2 linked regions of the Mytilus edulis genome follow. Each later gene encodes a partner of the first gene's protein in a complex. Links are inferred from orthologs where the notes say so. Each region holds a gene or a part of one and is shown in the gene's direction. Other genes may lie near its edges.

The links.
Region 2: ragulator complex protein LAMTOR4-like (region 1) and ragulator complex protein LAMTOR2-like share a complex: the UniProt entries of both Drosophila melanogaster proteins name them as parts of the ragulator complex. The link is inferred for Mytilus edulis from reciprocal best matches to the Drosophila melanogaster genes Lamtor4 and Lamtor2.

Annotation. Positions count from the first base shown.
Region 1 is NC_092346.1:47,802,788-47,814,756, forward strand, and holds ragulator complex protein LAMTOR4-like, read left to right. Parts: upstream 1-6,404; 5' UTR 6,405-6,535; intron 6,536-8,663; 5' UTR 8,664-8,678; coding exon 8,679-8,759; intron 8,760-9,794; coding exon 9,795-9,912; intron 9,913-10,693; coding exon 10,694-10,791; 3' UTR 10,792-10,902; downstream 10,903-11,969. Other genes in the region: UV radiation resistance-associated protein-like, read right to left, coding at 2,262-2,296, 3,499-3,619, 6,047-6,100. UniProt on the Drosophila melanogaster protein: Regulator of the TOR pathway, a signaling cascade that promotes cell growth in response to growth factors, energy levels, and amino acids. As part of the Ragulator complex, may activate the TOR signaling cascade in response to amino acids.
Region 2 is NC_092352.1:35,102,919-35,114,551, reverse strand, and holds the start of ragulator complex protein LAMTOR2-like, read left to right. Parts: upstream 1-6,870; 5' UTR 6,871-6,929; coding exon 6,930-6,997; intron 6,998-11,297; coding exon 11,298-11,460; intron 11,461-11,633. Other genes in the region: protein ecdysoneless homolog, read right to left, coding at 738-916, 2,469-2,556, 3,379-3,496, 6,534-6,735. UniProt on the Drosophila melanogaster protein: Regulator of the TOR pathway, a signaling cascade that promotes cell growth in response to growth factors, energy levels, and amino acids. As part of the Ragulator complex, may activate the TOR signaling cascade in response to amino acids.

The DNA of each region.
Region 1 (11,969 bases):
CATTCATAAAAAAAATGGATTAATGATTTGATTCCCAATAAGGATTAATATCAAAGATATGGTGAGTAAATATTTGTTTATAATATGAACCTGTTGATACAACATGTCTTATTACAATTAGATGATATACATGAATATATACACAACAGAAATTACATGTAGGGAGTTGCGAGCAGTGTACATACTATTATTCAATCAGTATCAAAGAGGTCATTGAACTGACCTGACCATGCAAAATATATATTTATATTTAAAAAATGTCACACATAGTAGAAAAGGCTTCGATTTTCGTATTCGGTTTAAAATATTTGAGCAGAAATTGCATTTCATGTTTTATCATATTTAAAATCACCAATTCACTTATCCCTTTCTTTTGATATTTTGCGATATTTCTAGTTTTCCAGATAACCCATTTCGTAATTAAAAGCACCATATCTAAAATTTGGGTATAAGATGCATCTGCATTAATGACCCCAAAAATTATACTTGTTTCCGATTTTTGTAATTTTTGGATATTTAATTTTGAACAAAATTCCCTTATTTTCTCAAAAATTTCCCGCCAAACGTCTTCCACCAGTTTACAATAAATAAAAAGATGAAATAGTGATTCTTTTTCATTGCAAAAGTGACACTTCCCGTTTGAGCGATTCATTTTTTGTAACTTTTCTTCAGTGTAAATTATATTATGTAGTAACTTCCATTGAAATTGTTTAATTTTCCTGTTAGCTAAATTCTTATTCAAAGTTTCCCAAATGTAATCCCATGGTAGTTCATTCCCAAAATGTAAATTCCACTTCAACTGACTATTTGGAGCTGTTTTATTCTTATAAAAGTATCTAATATCTTTAAGGCATAATTTTTTTGCATCAACGACAACTCCATTTTTTATAAATTGACAAGAATTTATTATTTTTATAGGTCCATCAGAATGACTATGTATACTAGAGTCTGTTTTTAAAACGTCAATTTGTTGAGGTGTTAACGAAGATTTAATGCGGCTATATTGTGCAATCCAATTCCTTTTATCTTTAAGACTGTTAAAAATATCAAGGGATGTTTTAAAGGATTTATTGTTTAAGTCCCATATATCTTTAATTTTTTTTATTCCACTGGAGGCAAAATTTGCATAATATAATGCATGTCCCTTGAACTTCAATTTACAATTGCCGAAAATATTTTCTTCTAAAAGGTCCTCTTTCGTGACCGATTTTTGGATTTTCTGTAAGTCAGTCCAGGAAATTAAAAGTTCTTTATAATATTTGGACATTTGTATTTGCTTAAAACATGTAGTGTCCGAACAAGAACATATAAAAAAGTCTGTATCATATTTTTCGTCTTGTGACGTTAACCAGTATTTTCCTATTGCATTCCATTTTTGTGTTTTTGAGTTGACAATACTGTACATACTTTTCACTTGTTTTGATTTAATAAAGTCCCTCAAGTTTATCATTCCTATCCCCCCCTTTTTCTTTCGGTAAACAGCACACTGTTCTAGCGACTTGGTTTGTTTTCCCATCCCATATAAAGGACCATATAATATTATTTATTTGTTTTTCGTATATATCCCGGATACCTCTCATTTCAATTTCGTATCCAATGACGGACAGTACAAAGGATTTAATAATTAAGACTTTTCCCGTAAATGTGAGATCTCGTGATTTCCAAACTTCCATACAGCATTTTATTTAATTTATTTTTTCTAACCAAATTTGATCTAAGTCCACCCCGTATCCATGTAGTACATTGTACCCCTAATGCTTTCACAGGACGCTTAGACCATTTAATTTTGTTAAATTTTGGTTTTTTATTTCGCCACTTGCCTAAATACATGCCAACAGTCTTATCCATATTCATTTTAGCCCCCGAAGCATTTTCGTACAGTTTTAAAGTTTTAAATGTTTCTTCGATAGACTCCTCGCTTTTATTAAAGAGTTGAGTATCGTCAGCAAACATATTTAGCTTTGTTTCAATAAAGTCCCCAGTTCTAGTAGGAAGTTTTATTCCTTTTATATTAGGATTGTTTCTCTTTAATACCTATTATAACTTAAGAATATTAGCAAAAAATACATTGGAAATCATCATTTAGGGGCAACAACTCTAAGAAGGATTAATTTGCAGGTTATAGCAATTACTACATATTTTGTCATATACATTTGTTCTTATAATATGAATAATAATTCAATGTACTTTTTCAAATCAACAGCAAGTTTTCTTGATAATGATAAGCTATAATCTTACAAACATTTTGCCGAGTTACTCACCAGAGATCCCTGTATCTTTTCACTTGTATAAAATGCTAAAAAGAAAATTTTATGATGCAATTACATGTACTATGAAAAATAAGTAGATTTCAGTTATTTTAAATAACTGAAATCAACTATTGTCAGCCTTGTACTTTTATCATGTTTATAGCAGATAACAAAATACTTTCTAATATAATTGAAAAGAAACCCCACAAAGGTATCACAATGTGGCTGATATTTAACACAACAGTCTCATTTCATCCATTAGCAAAATTAGATGCATACTCACTGTATGAATACATCAAAATAATGGGAAAGTGTGCTACATGTTGCAATAAAATTTAGAATGGAAACAGGGAATGTGTCAAAAAGACTGACTCAAACAAAGAGCAGAAGTCTACAGAAATCTTTTGCAAAGAATTTCTCTCAAACCAGTGCTAGGGACCGTCTATTACTTGCTGTGCAGTGAGTTGTTTTTTTGCTTCATGTTAAAGGCCTCACATAGACTTAAAGATGAAGAACATCAATAAAAGCCTGTTTCTTTGCTTTTTGTGTTTTTTTAGACTAATTAATAATAAGCATGTACTGCTTTTTAGGTCATGGATTATTACCTCATATATCTTTTGTTTATCTTTTTTATAATGAAAGTCAATCTCTTACTTAAGGCTTAAGCATGTTATTTTTCTTGATTTCACTCCTTCTGTTCAGTCATTGCATTGCTATTGCTTGATTTATACCCCACATATTGTTTTGTTTTATATCATTTTTTGTTTCAGTTGGAAACTAAAATAAGTAGTTAATCAAGTTAATTCCACAAACTCTAGGAGGGCTGGATAGGGTTTACAGCATCTAGGTGCTAAGGTGGGGATAGGACCTTTATCAGGACTCCGGGATCAGGTGTTTTTAAGCTCAGGATTTCGGGATTGACCCTTTAAGGATTCAGGAATTCTTTTTTTCGAATTTCAGGATGTAGGGATTTAAATTTATCAAAATTTGTGACCTCATTATTTCGTGTTTTTAAGCCTGGGATTTCAGGATCAGAACCCTATCTACCACCGTGACCCCTCAATCTAAAATAATGAGTAATAACTACAGAAAACTGGTCCTAAAAAAAAGAGAAAAATATGACAAAAATATAGTGAATAGAGAAAAATGGCCGAAACATTCAAAGAATGCATGAATGAAGACTTCCCCATCCAAACCTTTTATGTTACAATAAGTTATATTAATTCAAGACCATGGTATAACACTGTACCTGGAACATTTCTGTCTATATGTAGAGTGAAGTAGGACTGTAGATTGGTCAAGTCTTTTCCTTTGTGTCCTGGCCAACATAAATTTCTTAAAGCTAGACATCTTAAATGTCTTAGTCTTCTCTGAAAATAACAATATTGAAATTAACAACATATAGCTTTCTGTCATGTCTTTCCAGCCACTGACTATCTGTCCTTTGTTGACCAGCAAAGACCAGTTTTTATTGCAATGTCTTGTCCAAATTTTTAATAGACCAGTATTTCCTTTTATTTACTGAACTAAGGCCTATTCACTACTAGTATTGACTATTTTTTCCAACCTTGTTATAAATATGAAGTTATGGATTTCAAGCTTTATTTTACTTGTGATGTCATAGATAAATGTCAACTGTACCCTATTCATACTGAAACATTCATTCTTATTTTTATTCTGTAATTGATTTACTTGTATAATTTTTCTTAAGGTTTATGTACCCTTCTGTAGCCATTTTTGTACGAACTTTTCAAACTTCAATTGTATCAAAACTACAGATATAATGAATAATAGAGATAGGTCATTTTGTACATATTCCAAGGGGAAACTTGATGCAAAGCATTATTTTTTACTGTTCCATTGCATTTAATAGAAAAAGAGGACTTTGTGGCAAATAAATCAAGATTTTTATAGAAAATCCACAGCCTTTATCCTTCATGTCCTTGTACTCTCATATTTGGCAATTTGATGACTGATAGATATAGGATTATTGCATGCAGTGCTAGCATTGATTTCCTTAAAACAAGTTTATAAATGTAGTTATTGGTTAAGACAAGTATAAATATGGCCAAAATCAAGTACACCTTTTAGGGTGCGCTCGACTTTAGTGACTTAGCACGAGGTGTTTTGGAATTTACAGGTTACTTAGAACTTTTTGTAAAAAATAAACACTAGCACATCATAGAAAATCAAGTGAGTAATTTATGTTTCAAATTTTATAACAAAAATCTCTGTATTAAAGGCTGTGGATTTTCTATAAAAATCTTGATTTATTTGCCACAAAGTCCTCTTTTTCTATCAAATGCAATGAAACAGTAAACAATAATGCTTTACATCAAGTTTCCCCTTGGAACATGTACTAAATGGCCTATCTCTATTATTTATTATATCTTTAGTTTTGATACAATTGAGGTTTGAAAAATTCGTACAAAAATGGCTACAGAAGGGTACATAAACCTTAATGTTATTTTTTTAAATAAAATGTTACCCTCAGTACTTTGTAGACGTCATGGTATAGCTGTAGCCCAAATAATTATGAGACATTGACGTCTTGAAAGGCTATTTTGAATTTTTGCTTTGACGCCTTCCTGTGACGTAAGGCGTCACAGAAGAAAATATAATAGCCTTTCAAGACATCATACAACGTCATAATTATTTCGACTAGATACATGTATAGCTGCAGGACCATGGATCTTAGTCTCTTAGATCCTTATGATATTTTTTTGACAATTTGCACCTACATGTATGTTAAATATATATTTTAAATAAATCAAATCAGAAGGACCTCAGAGCTACGGTTCCGAAGCTAGATTTATATCGGAATAAAATGGAATGAAGAATAGCTGAAAGAAATATTTTTGGGAAGAGTCCAAATATTTATGATGTCTTGGAAAGCTATTTCAAATTTTTTACTTTGACACCTTCCTGTCAATGTTAGGAGCAAAGAAAACATATAATAGCCTTTCAAGATGTCATAATAATTTATTTGGACTATATACTTCATTTACTTTTAGCTAAATTATTATGTACACACTTTGCACAACCAGATGCACATTCACATGAGCCATGTCAGATTATTCGTATGAAAAGTCGCATAAGAAATTGGAAACCAAAATGTTTGTATCGTCGGTGTCGGTAATTATTTGAATATTGTTTCATTATTTAGTTAAGGTTCATCATAACCTTTTGGCTAAAATGGCCGTATTTATACCCCAAATTTTACTCTGAGTACAGACTAACCTATACACCTGCAACAGTTTTAAGGGATGGCAGGAACTAGATATATAAATTTTAAATGCATTTTATGTTTCAGAAAATTATAAACTTTTCTAGATTTTGCTATCCATTTTTTTTCGTTCCTGCAGAAGGTGCAAAAATTAACTAAGTAGTGAAAACGATTGAGAAGCTCCCCTCATATAATCAATGTTGTGAGTAGTATTGATTTAAATGGACAATAGATGGACAATAGACACCTGTAAACAATAGGTGATTTAACAGGTTTAAACTGTGTAACTGAGTGGACCGTATCAAACGAAACTCGGGTGTTTGTTTATTTTGCTATCTTCTGCAGACTGGAAAAAAATGAACATCAAAATCCAGGTAAGTTTATAATTTTCTGAAACGTAGACTTCATATAACTTTTATATATCTAGTTCCTGCCATGCCTTAAAATTTTCCTGGATGTACCAGTTTGTCTGTACTCATAGTAATTTTGGAGGTGTAAACACGGCCATATTTTTCAATTCCTTATGATGAACCTTAATTTGCAGCCAGAGCCTGTTTTTCAAATAAATTACCTGGTATGACGATAATTCGAAGTAGTTTCTGGCTACTTTAGAAGAGTTTTCCATGTTACAATATGATAACTACATTATTGATAAGGACTCGCTTGTGTTTATGCTTTTAGAGACGTATTTGTCAGTCTAGGGGAGTTTTCGCTTTCGGAAATTTACTCCGTCCACCATTTTAAACATCTCGATTTTGATCATGTGACCCAATGTTCTCCGATTGATTTCGCTAAATTGAAGATTGCTTGCACATATTTAGGGCTAAACAATCATTTAAAATCATCCCTTGATGTCTTACTACACTGGTAACGAAATCAAAACAATCAAATATACAAATAGTTGAAGATTTTTCGATTCCGAAGACGAGACTACAGATCATGTGATCGAATAAATTATCTACCGGAAGTTTAATAAGCAGACAGCAAACAGGTGCCCTAAGTTGATAAAAGTTATATTGTTTGAAACAACAATGAACTATAACATCATCTTTTTATAAAAGTAAATATATTGTTATGAGAAACAGTCATATATCTTTTATTCAGCAATCAGTTGACTATTGTAAAACTTTAAAGATAAACTCAATTGACAATAAATAAATAATATATAAATTTTAATTGTAGTACAAATTTGTTCAATTGTATTACAGTGTAATGAACCCCCATACTGCCATAGTCATATCACAGGCACTTGTTTATATCCATTGGAAGACCCACTATCAAAATATATTTACATAAATATACGTTGATAGTGGGTCTTCCAATGGATAGAAACAAGGGCCTGTGGCCATTATAATTACTGGATATCACACAGGTTCAAGAGCTCACCAGAGCTCATGTTTTCTCTGTTATTATGTATATATATGCCGACTCTAAATAAAATTTACTTACTTACTTACTTAGGTTCCTGTAAAATTTTGTTGTCATAAAACAAAATATCTGACACCACAAAATTAATAGAAAAGTGATTGTTGTATGACATCAAAAGTTCAAGCAGCCGTGTCAGCCAAGAATTGTGATAAGGAGTATTGATTAATAAATCCGTGCATTTATACAAATACAGTGGCGTCTCCAGTGTCTGCGTGGCTGGTGATATCGCCCAAACTTGATTATCTCATATCTGCAATGTATTAGACATAGAATAGGTCTTGTTATTGTTTTAGTCTTCCAAAGGGACAGAAAATATTAAAATCAATACATGTAATAAGTTCATGAGTAAATTTATTACTGGAATCCTATAGCTACAATTATAACCATATTTAGCCAATTTCCCATAAAAAAAATTACATCATCAAATAAAAGTTGTTTTTGTTTAAATCAAATTTAGATTAGATCTGTCAAAACAAATTTTGCTCTGCAGCATTGACAATCTGGTTCAAACTTGATTGTATTTCGTCATATAAATCATGCCTTTATTAAAATAAATATGCAGTAACTCACCAGCCATTTGTGGAACTCTCATAACAGAGTTTTTACTAATTTTGGACCGTCACATTTTCAGGGTCCCAAAGTAAGCCTATCCTTCAGAAAAAAACCTGAGTATTCCGACACACTGCTTAATCCAACATTATTTTTCTGTATCCCCAATTACACAGGTTACATAGTAATGTGAAGTCATACGTAAGTCATAGGTGCACAGATATTAATAATTCGCTTCACCAGTATTCATGGTATTGGCAGTAATTAATGCAGTTTTCAACATAAAAAGTCTCATTTAGAAAATCTAAGAGTAGAATTTTTATGACAAAATAATTCTGAAGTCTTGGAAAGCTCTAGTCAGTAGTCGGTACCCAGGAAAAAAAACATATATACAAAAATGGACCACTGATGAATGTCTTCTTCAAACTAAGCAAATGATATCTAATACACTTAATCCATTTTGGAATTCTGTGTTTGAAGCAAGGATGGCGAAATCAGAAAATCTCCATTACAGATTAGTGGTCACTCTGATATTTCTACGTCCCATTGTTACATTAAATTGAACTGAGAATGGAAACGGTGTATGCAATAGATAGACATCAACACAATCAAAAAGCTGAAACAGCCCAAGGCCACTATAAATAGCTAGATGTAATGCAGCAAAACAAAATGCAGTACCTGTAGAAAGCCATAGCTGGCCCCTAAACAATGATATATACTAGTTCAACACAAATGAAAACCACACTAAGGCCAAAAGAACAATATATGTGTTTCCTATATTACATGATCATCTTTGAAAAAAGTAGGGTAGGTAAATGTAGGTAGGGACTTATTTTTATTTTACCATTTTTTTTTCTCACATAGAGTCTATGGGAGGAACATTCTGCTTTAACAGTGCATATTGGAAAAAAATACACAAAAAAACGGGTACATAGGCTATTTTTTTAATTTGGCATAAACTTACAAAACATATAAATGAACCAAAAATTGTAATCCAATCTAATTAGTGATATTAGTAAGTAAGGATAATAAACTAATACTATTCATGCTTAATTAAGGACACAGTCTTAGCAATAATATAAATTGATAACTGATATTTTTCTACAACTTGGTAAGAAGTAGCACACAAAACAGAGTCCTTGAATAGTATCTCTTTGTATAATGACCACTAGTTTAGTGACAATTAAAACATGTACATCATATTATTTCAGATCAGAAAATAGAAAATGACCACTGCACAAGGAATAGACAAGATTCATGACTCTCATGGTTACCTGGTGCTAACTGATGATGGGGCTGTTCTAAGTGTGAGTTTTTTTGTAGTATTGGTACATGCATATATATTTGTTTTGCTTTTGTTGGAAAAAATTCTAACTACTAATTAAAGAAAAGAATAAAAAAATACATTGCATATTCGTTAGGAAAACAATTTTAACAGTACAAGTTTTAATCTTCCCTCATTTTTGTCCATCCTGCAACTTTTGTTGCAGAAAACTCAACATAGGGATAGTGATCCAGCGGCGGCGGCTAAAAGCTTTATATTTTAGTAGGTGGAAGATCTGGATGCTTCATACTTGGTATATGGATGCCTCATGTTGCAAAGTTTCCGTCAGTCACATGTCCACTGTCCATGACCTCATTTTAATGGTTCAGTGACTACTTGAAAAAAAGTTTAGATATTTTGTAAAGTTAAATTCTCTCTTATTATAAGTAAAAGAATAACTATATTTAGTATGTGCGTACCTCGCAAGGTCCTCATGCACGTCAGACAGTTTTCACTTGACCTCAACCTCATTTCATGGATCAGTGAACAAGGTTAAGTTTTGGTGGTCAAGTCCATAGATCTTTTAAAATAATGTTTGTGCAGACATTTCACATTTCTCATTTTAATATCAACTTATCAAGTGTGTCCACGTATGCACTCTATGTTTCCTGGTCCTATATTTGGTTGAAATCCAGACGATATTGTCAAATTTCTCGAAAATCTCTTATCTTGACCTTTTTGAGATATTAAAATCAACGTTTTAGAATTAAACTTTGACAAAAATAGCACCATTTAACTTTCTCATATATGTCTTAAAGCCAACTTAAAACAGTTTTTGTCTTGTAACATTGAACTTTATAATCATGGCCAAATATGGCCCTTACCGAACCTACTCCTTTATCAAAGATTAAGATATATTGAAGTGATGTGCACCTGCTATTATGAAATTGGGGAAACGGAAGAGTGGGGGGGGGGATGGTGGTGACAGTTGAATATGCTTGAAATATTTGCATGTGGATGTATAACTATCAATCAATCATTTCAACATTTCAAAGGTATATTATATTATCAATTTTAGTCAGGAGGAGACTTACAAAATGCAGAATCTATAGCTGAAAAAGTTCTGAAGCTAGTTCATACAGCAAACAGAATTCAAGTTACTTCAGACAAGAGAGATACTTTTAAAAGAATTTCAGGTATATACTGCTTAAAAGCTAGTTTAGATTTATCAAACACTCAGTAATGTATTTACTGTATTATGTAGGTTGTAAAGGCATAAAGTGCCAGTGCTATGAAATACTGCCAACACTTGTTGTTTGTTATCCATCATCTGCAAGCTTTTCACATTTTCTGGAATTGTTTAAATTGTTGAATATAACACTTATGTTCAATTATTTTTTTGTCTGATATGTCATTTCCGAGTTTGGGAATTTTGACTGTCAAATGAATTAAAAGCATTTTTTTTCAAATGCTATGCACTATCTCTTGTATGCTTGGCTCAAATTTTAGCATACTCAACTCTTTCTGAAAGTAGACTCCCTTTTGATATTAAAAAGATTTTCTGGTTTGTTATTCAAGAGTTACAAAACTTGGATGTCATTTAATACAATATTTGTACATCTAAGGGTATTCTGATGAATTCTTCATAGCCATTATGTTTGCTTCTGATTATATGCCTTCTTAATATCCAATTTCAATCTTCACAATAATGTTGAAGCATTTGTGTTAGGTGCAGCTGTTTATTGTCATATGTTTTATGAAATGTTTTGCTATAGGAATATAATGAAATATGGGGTAAAGTTCAACAACATTCTAGAGATCAGCTTATAAATTTATAAAGTTTTATTTTCATTTTACAGTGTTTACAAAATATGTCAAGCTGAAATTTAAAAGACTATCAAAATTATGCATTGACTAAAATGCTTATTTATGTTTGCTTTAAAATTAATTTAGTAAAAAATGTATTTTTTCTTACAGTTGTTTGGGAAAGTTATATGTATGTTATAACAGTTTCCAATCAGAAGATATATGTTAGTAAAAGACAGTATTCACCACAGGAGCCAGCAGTAGCATGATTGATTATATACTTTATATTATCTTTATCTCATAACTTGTAATACCGGTATCATAATCATTTTCTCAATGTTACGTATTTACAAAAATAAAGACAACATGTTTTCCACTAATGGTTGATTATTTTGATACCTTATCTTTTTCATAAAAAAATCTGAGCAGGATTAACAGGACCAATATGACTTGGAGCTAAACTATTAACCTTTTTTCAGGGGTCACTTTTTTGACACATCAAATATATCAATGGGTTCGGATTTCACCAAGGTAAAGGGTCAATAACTTTCATCTTTTGATTGTTGTGTAAATGCTGTTTTATTGTTTAAAATCAAGTCAAGCTGTAAAAAAATTAATATGTGATAACTGAGGAATATATGTATGGGTTATGATTTTGCTATGAAATATGTTTATGGGTCAGGATTTCACAAGACTACCATTTATGAATGAAGGGTATTTTTGAAATCCCAGCTGCACATCTGTACCCAAAAACCCATGTTAAGACCACCCCCATCCCCCGTGCCATTCTGAACTATCTGATTTTGTTCCAGATCCTAGATTCAGTACCAATTTCTGTTTAGTATTGTGTTGCCCAATCTTTTTGCATTTTTTTCCTTTATCCTGAAAAATTTTGAAGAAAAAAATTGTAAATTTCAAAAATGGTTTAGCACAAGCTATGTCTACCCTTTAAATTGGAAAAAAATGACAACCTGGTTTGGAAGTACAATGTATCACTTCTGAAATGTTGGTCTTTATGTTTTGTGTTGATTGTCCAGTGACAAATATTTCATGCATATTCAGGATGAAAGCAAATGAATAATAATCTGTTCTGCATAGTGTAATCAGGATGATGGTTTGAGTTTTAACAAACTGGAAAAAGGCATTTTAGTCGGGCTGAAATTTTGCCTTGCAGCAGTTCAGTTATGGGCCCCTCAAGGATTTGTGGCAATGGTTCTGAAATAAGAAGAAAACATGGCACTGAGAGTGGAAATCTACAAAAGTTGCAAGCAAATAAAACAGAAACTAACAAAGATCTGTCATCAACACCAATAAAAATACAATAAGATATGACATGAAACATTCAGTCATTTGCAATTGCTGAAAGAAAACCAAAAGTACCTATTGAAAGCTGTTGATTTGAAATTTTACCCTCCTACACTCTTAATAACTATTGCTGTATAGAAGA
Region 2 (11,633 bases), on another chromosome or scaffold:
CATTGTATTTGTAAGTGTCTTTAAATTAAGCTTTGCCACTAGCTTTGTATAAATGATTGTACAAAACATTAAGCATTTTTGAGAAAAATGGCATTTAGATCATATCCTTTTTCTTTTTCTGTACTATTTTCAAATGAAAGTGACAAAAGACATTGCATACTTAACCATGAACACCCATTGGGACCATGGGTAGTAATTTAAAACTTTTAGTTATGTTTTATAAGATTGTATTTATTACTATTTAATGACACTTTTCACCGTGTATTGTATGGCAGGCATACCACTAGGGAATGTAATTATCTGTCCAAGATATCATGGGATGAACAGTGAAAACCTACCCATCAAGCCTTTGTCTTAAGCAGTATTTACTTCAGTGCTAGCCAGTGTGGCAGTGTTATAAGTTTCTGACACATTTCATTTAGGAGTGTTGGGCAGGTACAGCAATAAGGGGAATGGTTATCTGTGTATGAAATTGTGGGATGGAAAATCACTCAGTGCTAGCCATTACTGCAGTGTTGTAGTTTCTGACACATTTCCCTTGGGAGTGTGTTTTACATGTACAGGAAATTATGGGAATTATGGGAATGGACCGTTAAAACTTACCCATCAAACCTTTGTCTGACAGCATTATTTATCTCAGTGTTAGCAAGGGTAGCAGTGTAATAGTTTCTGACACATTTCACTTGGGAGTGTGTTTTATCTGTGCAGGGATATGGGAATGGACAGTTAAAACTTACCCATCAAACCTTTGTTTGACAGCATTATTTATCTCTGTGCTAGCCAGTGTGGCAGTGTTATAGTTTCTGACACATTTCACTGCGTATTGTATTTCAGGAACACCACTAGGCAAGGTGGTTATCTGTGCAGGGGATTGTGGAAATGGAATAATGTGCAGGTTTCCTTGAAAAATATAAACCTGAAAAAATAAACAATTCCTTAAATTTAGCATTTTATACATGTATGCTGGTAAAGAAAGTACATTGTATATAAACATGATAAATAATAATGTATGCATACATCATGTACATATTCATGAACCTACAAATTTATGCACTGCAAATCAGTTAATTGTTACCTGGTTTTCTTTTTTTATTACTTCATTTTAAAGGGTGATCAGCTGATTAAGCTGCATTAGATCAAACCAAGAATAATATTTAGGACACTAAAAACATTTTCTGTAACTCATCTACATTTCTTTTTAATTAATAACATTAATACTTCCTTTGCCCTATTTCAAAGATATAACCAAATAAAATGTTATTGTAAAAGTTTCACCAATCCCTCTTTTTGAACAGTTCTATGTTTGTTTTAACCATCTTTGGAATTTTGTCAAAGGGAAATTGGTCTATACATATCGAAAATATAATGAAGATGGAATGCTATGTGAGGAAGAAGGGGCGATTTACACAGCTCTCTGAAACAGACAAATGGAGATGGAATGCTATGTGAGGAAGAAGGGGCGATTTACACAGCTCTCTGAAACAGACAAATGGAGATGGAATGCTATGTGAGGAAGAAGGGCGATTTACACAGCTCTCTGAAACAGACAAATGGCGATGGAATGCTATGTGAGGAAGAAGGGGTGATTTACACAGCTCTCTGAAACAGACAAATGGAGATGGAATGCTACGTGAGGAAGAAGGGGCGATTTACACAGCTCTTTGAAACAGACAAATGGAGATGGAATGCTATGTGAGGAAGAAGGGGCGATTTACACAGCTCTCTGAAACAGATAAATGAAGATGGAATGCTATGTGAGGAAGAAGGGGTGATTTACACAGCTCTCTGAAACAGACAAATGGAGATGGAATGCTATGTGAGGAAGAAGGGGCGATTTACACAGCTCTCTGAAACAGACAAATGGAGATGGAATGCTATGTGAGGAAGAAGGGGCGATTTACACAGCTCTCTGAAACAGACAAATGGAGATGGAATGCTATGTGAGGAAGAAGGGGTGATTTACACAGCTCTCTGAAACAGACAAAAGGAGATGGAATGCTATGTGAGGAAGAAGGGGCGATTTACACAGCTCTCTGGAACAGACAAATGGAGATGGAATGCTATGTGACGAAGAAGGGGCGATTTACACAGCTCTCTGAAACAGACAAATAGAAGTGAGAAACAAATCACCCTGTTACAATATTTAGTAGGTGAACCAATAATTAGTTATTTTTCTCAAAATCTTCATAACAAGTAAAACCTATTGTTGTTGATCTTTTTTATCATGTTAGCTGTGTTTGAATCTCTACTACAAGCAGCAGATAATCCTATAAAATTGAGAATGGAAATGGGGAATGTGTCAAATAGACAACAACCCAACCAAAAAGCAGATAACAGTCGAAGGCCACCATGGGTCTTCAACATATGTGTTCAATGCAGTAAGAAAATCTCGCACCCAAAGGCTTGTCTCAGCTGGTCCCTAAACAAAAATGTATACAAAAATATGCTATAAATAATGAAATAAATACTCTATTTTCAGCAGTATCAGGTTCCAGCCATTTAGGAAGATTATCAGCAGCCTCTATCAGCATAAACTCTTCATCACTATCCTTAATTCTGAATTAGAAAACATGATACTGAGTAACATCTTGTTATTCATATGACAGTCACATACTGATAAAAGATGTCACCAAATACCGGTAAAAGTTCATTCAAAATATAAACAATGATAAAGTTCAAATGGAAAACATATTCAGGAATATTATTTAATTTCCACTGAACAAATAATACACAACAGTGTTTGTTCCTAATGAAATAAATGGTAAAGAATATTTGTTCCTGCTGGAACAAATATTACAGCATTGTTTATAACAAAGTTTTAAGAGGAATTTCTATAAGACGTAACAAAATAGTATTTCCAATACTAAAGGGAAATCAACTGAACATGTTTATCATTTTTACTTTTAGCTACTACATAATAGTTGTTTAAAATAGAAATATGTGATGTACTACAAAAATATAATTACTGTGAGAGAAAATTTCACATGTTTTACACTCATCTCTAGAAAATCAAGAATCTCCAAAAGAAACATCCTCATATGAATAATCAATATATATATATACTATAATTCACTTTTAATATATAGCAACAGAAAAACTACAAGTCTTCAAAAGTGAACATTAATCACTGATCATGAGTCATGAATATGAGGTCAAGGACACTTGACAAATGTCTGACAGAGAGAAAAACATTTTATTTAACTAGAAGAAACCTACATGATGTAGGAAATTACAAATTCAATGCAAATATAAAAAAAAAAATATATTTTAGTTTAGGTTGTCAGTTTTTTTCTAAAAAAGTTTGAATATCATGAATATGTGCATAATGAATCTTTATAACTTTTGACTATCTTAAAAATACAAGTGAAGGTATCTTACTTTGCAACTAAGCAATCAAACTGTTTGGTTAATGTGAATAGTAGGTAAACAATAAGCCATTCATCCTCAACGTTATCACCATAACAGGTTTTTCCATACAGGTGAGGTGGTAAATTATCTAGAAATAATGATAAGATGTTACACATCTCCTGTTTAAATATGATTATAAATTTAAACTTCATTGTCTTGTAACAAAAATATCAACTCAAGCTTTTTAATTTTAGCAAATTCCTTTCTTTCTTTCTTCAACCATTTTGGGGATCTTTTTGTTGTCTTAGCTAGCTAAACAACAAAAGAGTTATTTACTATACATGTAGTCCTTGGTGTCCAGTGGCAAATATTACACATGTTTAATGCATGTTCAGGACAATATAACTCAGACATGCCTGTGTCTTAGTACAAGACTGAACAATAATGACAATGCTTCACATCTGATCTTGAGCAAATTTTAACCAGGTGCTCCGCAGGGCGCAGCTTTATACGACCGCAGAGGTCGAACCCTGAACAGTTGGGGCAAGTATGGACAAAACATTCAAGCGTGATACAGCTCTGAATTTGGATTGTGATCAAATTTTTGACATTACATGAGTTTTTTTTACACAAAACAAATGTCAAGATTTTACAAATCAATTAAAGATTTCTTCTTCAAACTTTTTAAATCTAAAATTAAATGGTTGACACAGCATAGGTTTCTGACACAGAATGAATGTGGTCTAATGAACTTAAAAGTTTTTTTTTGCCTTTTAGCAATTCACTATGCTGTTGAATATTAATCCTCTCAAAAAAATGTTTGAAGAAATTTTCTTTTTATTTATGAAATCTGAAATGAGAAAAATTTAACCCCCCCCCCCCTTTTTTTCACATCCCCGTTTCCCTTTTTCCAAAACTGATATCAATTCAAATTTCTAATGGAGTTTGCAATAATAACTACTCTTTTAAATACATCATAAAATATTAAAATGTAAAATAAAGTGCTTGTTATCACTGAATGGTAAAGATTGGTTGGTAGTAAAAGTGAATATACATTGTTTATTGTATAAAACAATAAAAAAAACTTCATCAGCAACATTTTATATTGGCAAATTTCCAATGAAGTTATTTACATAAAGTTATTGGCAAATTAAAATAGAAAATGACATCATAGTCATGTCTGACAAATGTCCAACATACATTATCTAAAAACATTTTAGATAAGATAAGGAAAAAAAGCTTCATCAGCAACATTTTATATTGGCAAATTTCCAATGAAGTTATTTACATAAAGTTATTGGCAAATAAAAATAGAAAATGACATCATAGTCATGTCTGGCAAATTTCCAACATATATTATCAACTACTATTCTATACAAAGAAAGATAACTCCAATTGAAAATTAATTGCTATTGCACAATATTGTGCAATTAGATATTTCTTGCTATTGTGCAATACTGTGCAATTGAAAATTTCTTGCTATTGCACAATACTTGATATGGAATCCTGATTTGGACCAACTTGAAAACTGGGCCCATAATCAAAAATCAAAGTACATATTTAGATAAAGCATATCAAATAAGCCCAAGAATTTAATTTTTGTTAAAATCAAACTTAGTTTAATTTTGGACCCTTTGGACCTTAATGTAGACCAATTTGAAAACTGGACCAAAAATTAAGAATCTACATACACAGTTAGATTTGGCATATCAAAGAACCCATTTATTCAATTTTTGATGAAATCAAACAAAGTTTAATTTTGGACCCCCATTTGGACCAACTTGAAAACTAGGCCAATAATTAAAAATCTAAGTACATTTTTAAATTCAGCATATCAAAGAACCCCAAGGATTCAATTTTTGTTAAAATCAAACTAAGTTTAATTTTGGACCCTTTGGACCTTAATGTAGACCAATTTGAAAACGGGACCAAAAATTAAGAATCTACATACATAGTTAGATTCGGCATATCAAAGAACCCCAATTATTCAATTTTTGATGAAATCACACAAAGTTCAATTTTGGACCCTTTGGGCCCCTTATTCCTAAACTGTTAGGACCAAAACTCCCAAAATCAAACCCAACCTTCCTTTTATGGTCATAAACCTTGTGTTAAAATTTCATTGATTTCTATTTACTTATACTAAAGTTATTGTGCGAAAACCAAGAATAATGCTTATTTGGGCCCTATTTTGGCCCTTAATTCCTAAACTGTTGGAACCAAAACTCCCAAAATCAATCACAACCTTCCTTTTGTGGTCATAAAACTTGTGTCAAAATTTCATAGATTTCTATTCACTTAAACTAAAGTTATAGTGCGAAAACCAAGAAAATGCTTATTTGGGCCCTTTTTGGCCCCTAATTCCTAAAATGTTGGGACCAAAACTCCCAAAATCAATCCCAACCTTCCTTTTGTGGTCATAAACCTTGTGTTAAAATTTCATTGATTTCTATTCACTTTTACTAAAGTTAGAGTGCGAAAACTAAAAGTATTCGGACGACGACGACGACGACGACGACGACGACGACGACGACGACGACGACGACGACGACGACGACGCCAACGTGATAGCAATATACGACCAAAAAATTAAAATTTTTGCGGTCGTATAAAGAAGGGTTACAATTTATTATTGGCGATTCAAAGTCAGGCAGAAATGCAATCTAAAAGTAAACAAAGTAACCTTTTTCAGTCACAGCAGTCAAATTAAACTGCTCTTTTTGCCAAATGTGGTCGACAATTGTTGAACTAACAAAAGCAGGATAAGTGTCAATATATTCAAGTAAAATTTTCACTTTGTCTCTTGACATAAGCCAAGGATCCAAGGATGTGTCAACAAAGGGGAAAAGCCAATATTCAGAAGCATTGTCGGGTAGTCAATCTTTCTTTTCTACCATGCTTATTAAATGACTGGTTTGTAATAATTAACTACGATAACGATAGCTTATTTTCAATTGTACACATTTCTACAAAGAGTTGCATCGCCAGTGGCAAATATAATTACACATGTTTAACTGTTAATGCACATTCAGGACAATATAGCTCAGATATTCCTGTGTCTTAGTACTTGACTGAAAAATAATGAAAATGCCTCACATCTTGGGCAAATTTTATAGAAGGGTTACAATTTATTTTTGGTGATTCAAAGTCAGGCAGAAATGCAATCTAAAAGTAAACAAAGTAACCTTTTTCAGTCACAGCAGTCAAATTAAACTGCTCCTTTTGCCAAATGTGGTCGACAATTGTTGAACTAACAAACGCAAGATAAGTGTCAATATATTCAAGTAAAATTTTTCGCTTTGTCTCTTGACATAATGATGTGTCAACCAAGGGGAAAAGCCAATATTCAGAAGCATCGTCGGGTAGACGATCTTTCTTTTCTGCCATGCTAATTCAATGATGACTGGTTTGTAATAATTAACTACGATAGCTTATTTTCAATTGTACACATTTCTACAAAGGGTACCAGTCAAAATTTGCGGAAGTTCAGCACAGGTCGTAACCTCAATAAATTGGCCAATCATTTAGAATGTTACAAAGTGCTTTGGATCCGAATCATGTGATCTATTATTTTGTGAAAGATGTTGAAGCCAAAAGCATTAACTCAAGTTTTGAGTCAGGCAAATACTGGTGGTGTACAAAGCACACTGTAAGAATATTAACTAATATCAAAGTTTATGAATTTAATGATATACAAAGTATGCTAAAAATAAATGAAAACAAAATGAAATACTTTGGCATATCATTATCAGATCAAATCATTAACTGGGTAGAATCCTTTCTTTCAAACAGAACGCAAACAGTACTTTTAGAAAACATGTCATCTTCAAAAATACCAGTCTCATCAGGAGTCCCACAGGGTACAGTGCTAAGACCAATACTATTCTTAATTTACATAAATGACCTCCCAGATTACATCCAACATAGCAAAATCAGACTCTTTGCAGATGACAGTATAATCTACGGATCTCCTGTAGTTGGTGATCGCAATACTGGTATACCAGTATTGTCCACAATACTAAAAAATTTGTACCAGTATTGTAACTTTTTATAAAAAAAAACCAGCAATACTGGTACATTACTGATATACCAGTATTGTAGTTGTATTGTTGACTAGACTATATTGAAGATCAACGGGAGATTAAATGAACTCAAAAAGATTATAAAGGATAATTGTGAAATCAATTAACAACCAGTTAAAAGTCATTACTATACTTGCACAAATAAACAAAGGATTATTGAAATTAACTCATAACATCATTATTATTTAAACAATTGCTAATAATTTTATCATATTTCTATATTTTATTTAATTCAATAAAGATAAAATAAAATAAAAGCTTTTTATTATCTGAGTAATAATTTAATAAATTCAAGCAAATTATTAGACTCTAACACTGTAAATTCAGCATTTACATGTATGCCATCACACATTTTGACAGATATTTTAATACATGTATACATTTTTTGTGTACTAAGATCATATGCATTTGTTTGTCTTTATTTTCTTATTAATCTTTCACAACAAAAGATATCAATATTATTCATTAATTATAAAAAATTGCTTTATAGGGGAACCTTGTTATAATCAAATTAACTAGTTTGTCTACATGAATGTTAAGGGTTGAAGCAGTTGATTCAGAACCATGGACAATACAATTAGTAGCAGATACATGTATATCTACTGGTACAAATACTAATACTAGACCAGCATTCTGACAGTAAGAGAGCTGTTCAAATGCTATCTGAAATAGCTTGTAATCTAGTAAGCGTTAGAGAAAGTCCACAGAGACAGAATACCTAAATACCAATATAGGAAGGGGGAGGGGTTGCAGAAATCACATCTGAAGAAGAAATAGACAATACCAATGCTGATGATACAGAAGCTATAACAGCATTAATGTCAATATAAAATTCACTAAAATATACTACATGAATCTTGGAAAGAGAGAGCTGAAAGAAAACATAGAAGAAAGTATAGAGTTTGTTAAAATGCTGATACAGAATGGTTAAGAAAAAAACATCAGAAGATTTAAAACTTTATTTGATGACAATCACAGTGTACCATCTATGGCATCATCAGCTAAACACAATCATTCCTAATAAAATTGTCATGTCATATGTTAATTTCATTATGCATATATGTGACACCTTTAATAAAAGATTAATTACCTATATTGTTTATTTAAAAAAAAGCACAATACTGGTACAATACTGGAGGGCGCACTACGTTTGCGCGCATTTGGGGATTAAAATGTTTTACGTTTGCGCGCAGCTTTTGATTACATTTGCGCGCATTTATCTTACAGGTAAACCCAGGTAAAAAACGGTATATGATGAAATATGAATAATATAAAATTTCATTAACTTTGAAAAGATGTTTTAATCATAATTTATATTGTTCATATTGTATTCTAAGACAAAATATAAAGTGTGCATGATAAATTCTGTTATAACTTAAGGCATACATGTAACTTCATTGCGAATTTTTTCAGGGTGATCAAGTACCCCGAATAGTGATCTCTTTAAAATTCGTAAATAATCTATTGAAAGCTAGATTGTAAAGTTTTGTCAAGTAACGGACATTTGAAATTTTTTTTAATAGCAAATCGGGGGAGAAAATCATTAGTATGCTATGAGTATTAAAATTTCCGGATTGATAGAATATAATGCAACCGACTTATCCTGCTTGTATCCAACTTCTACCTCCTCGTGGGTGAGTATAGGTGACTTAGTCAAAAGGAAAGGGTACTTTTACTTAAAATAATTGAATAAATTCATAGATAAATAAGAGTTATTGCCTAAGCTTACCTGAGTTTACCTGTCAAATAAATGCGCGCAATTGTAATGAAAAGCTGCGCGCAAACGTAATGATTTTTACGCGCAAATGTAATGGTAATGCGCGCAAACGTAATGCACCGATACTGGAATACAATACTGGTACAAAATTTTTATACCAGTATTGCGATCACCAACTACAGGAGATCCGGAAAAAGATTGGCTTATGTCTTTCCATCCAGACAATTGTAACATCATGAATATAACAACAAAAAGAAATCCCATCCACTTTTATTATAACATGTATGGACACATCTTAGAATCTGTAAAACATGTAAAATACTTAGGTATCACCATCTCAGCAGACCTAAAATGGAACACCCACATCCAACAAACCGCTGCAAAAGCAAATAAATCCTTAGGTTTCATCAGAAGAAACCTTAAAGTCCAATCGCAAACAATTTAAGAAAGAGCGTACCAAACACTCATAAGACCAAAGTTGGAATACTGTTGTACTGTATGGGACACATTTACAAACGAAAATATAAAATCACTGGAAAAAGTACAAAGATGGGCAGCAAGGTACGTGTGCAATAGACATCACAACACCAGCAGTGTGTCTGAGATGCTAGACACCATGAAATGGCAAACCTTACAAGAACGCCAACTACGAACAAGGCTTATAATGTTCCACAAAATTGTAAATGAAAATATAGCCATTCCATCGCAAAATGTATTACAACAGAGTCAGTCTACTACAAGATCCACCAATAAAGAATCCTACAGACAAATTCATTGCAATTAAGACAGCTATAAATTTTCTTTTTTCTGTCAAACCATCAAAGACTGTCCACAAACTATCCTCTGAAATTACCAAAAACACTACTACAGAAAACTTTAAGGATGCACTCACACGTGCTCCTTGATACTTACCCTCATCTGAAATAAACAGATACTCTTGTTTTTATCTTATACCAAAAAATAAAAATAAAAAATGTAATATTTAAAAACTAAATAAAAAATTGTATAAATTAAAAACAAAGAAAAAATTGTAAAAATTGAAAATACAAAAATATATGACCAAAAACAACTTTGAACAAGAAATATTTTGTTAATTTATATTTTCACAAAAATTATTCACATAAATTTATTAAAAAACATATACCAGGCATGCACTGGAAAGTAAACATCAGTACATGGATGGTTTTCTGTAACAAAAGAAGAAGAAAAAAACCATTTAAACAGGTTAAAAAAAGAACATGCAAGCAGGCTAGATCATACATGCAAATTATTAGTCCGAGATTACTCAGATGTCCAACAGCTGTTTTGCAAGACAAGTCCCACGGCCCCAGCTTGTCTGGCAAAACAGCCGTTGGACGTCAGAGTAATCTCGGACTAACATGCAATGTATAAAATTAAAATTATTTGTTTGTTTATAAGAGCCTAAAGAGGGGGGTAAAGGGTGAATAAAAGTTAAAAGATTAGTGCAAGGTGAATGAAAGCTGTCAAATCTTTTGTTATTGATGTCAATATCATGGTTGTTGATCACCTCTTAAATCAGTTACAATATTATTATATTCACCATGAAACCAGAGTGATATAACAATAAAAACTATACTACAAGGAATCTCAAAGTTGGGTTATCATATATATATAATGAATTAGATTTATAATTTTTTTAAATCTTGGTAATTTGACTCACTTTACAGGATCAATTGACCTGGTGTCACATGGTATTTTGAACCTTCTGTAAAGTGAACTTGAGGTCTAAATACCTTAATATGGTAAATTGACGCAGGGGTCATAATACCGTATATACCAGTACAAATTTTCTAAAAAGTGTTTTAAGGTGTAATCAGATACAAAGTTGAAGGAAACCATATGCTCCTACATGTATATCATGTATTGTTTTATAAAAAGGGTCAATAAAAATGTCAAAACTGGAACAGGATTAGTATGTATGTATATATACATGATATAGGTGTTGCTCTCACCCAATTAGAACATTAAGGCTAAATAGAAAGTCCATGTCTTGATAGCTATTTATTTTGATATTACCCGGTAAAAGGACTGCATATTACATGCATATGCACTTTTATTTTGATGCTGATACTTGTAATTATATTCATTTTTTTTTAACAAGAGATTTTTTTTAATTGATCTATTTTTAGGTTGTTGAACAATGAAGGAGCCTTATTAGCCTATTCTGGTTATGGTGACAAAGATGCTGCTGTTTCAGCTGCTATAGCTGGTAACATTTGGACAGCCTATCAGAAGAGTGGGTCTGCAGCTTTTAATGATGATAAATTAAAATTAGTTCTGTTGGAATGTGAGGTAAGAAAAGGAAAAAGCATTCAATGATAAGAACTCAATACCAGCATTTACTTTTAAGGGTCCTGGGATGGATAAAAGGGGTTCCTGTCTTATTTTTGTAAATTCATAGGAAAATCTAAATCTTGTAACATCCTTGTGATCCCTTTTATGTCAAAATTGGTAGTTAATTTTAA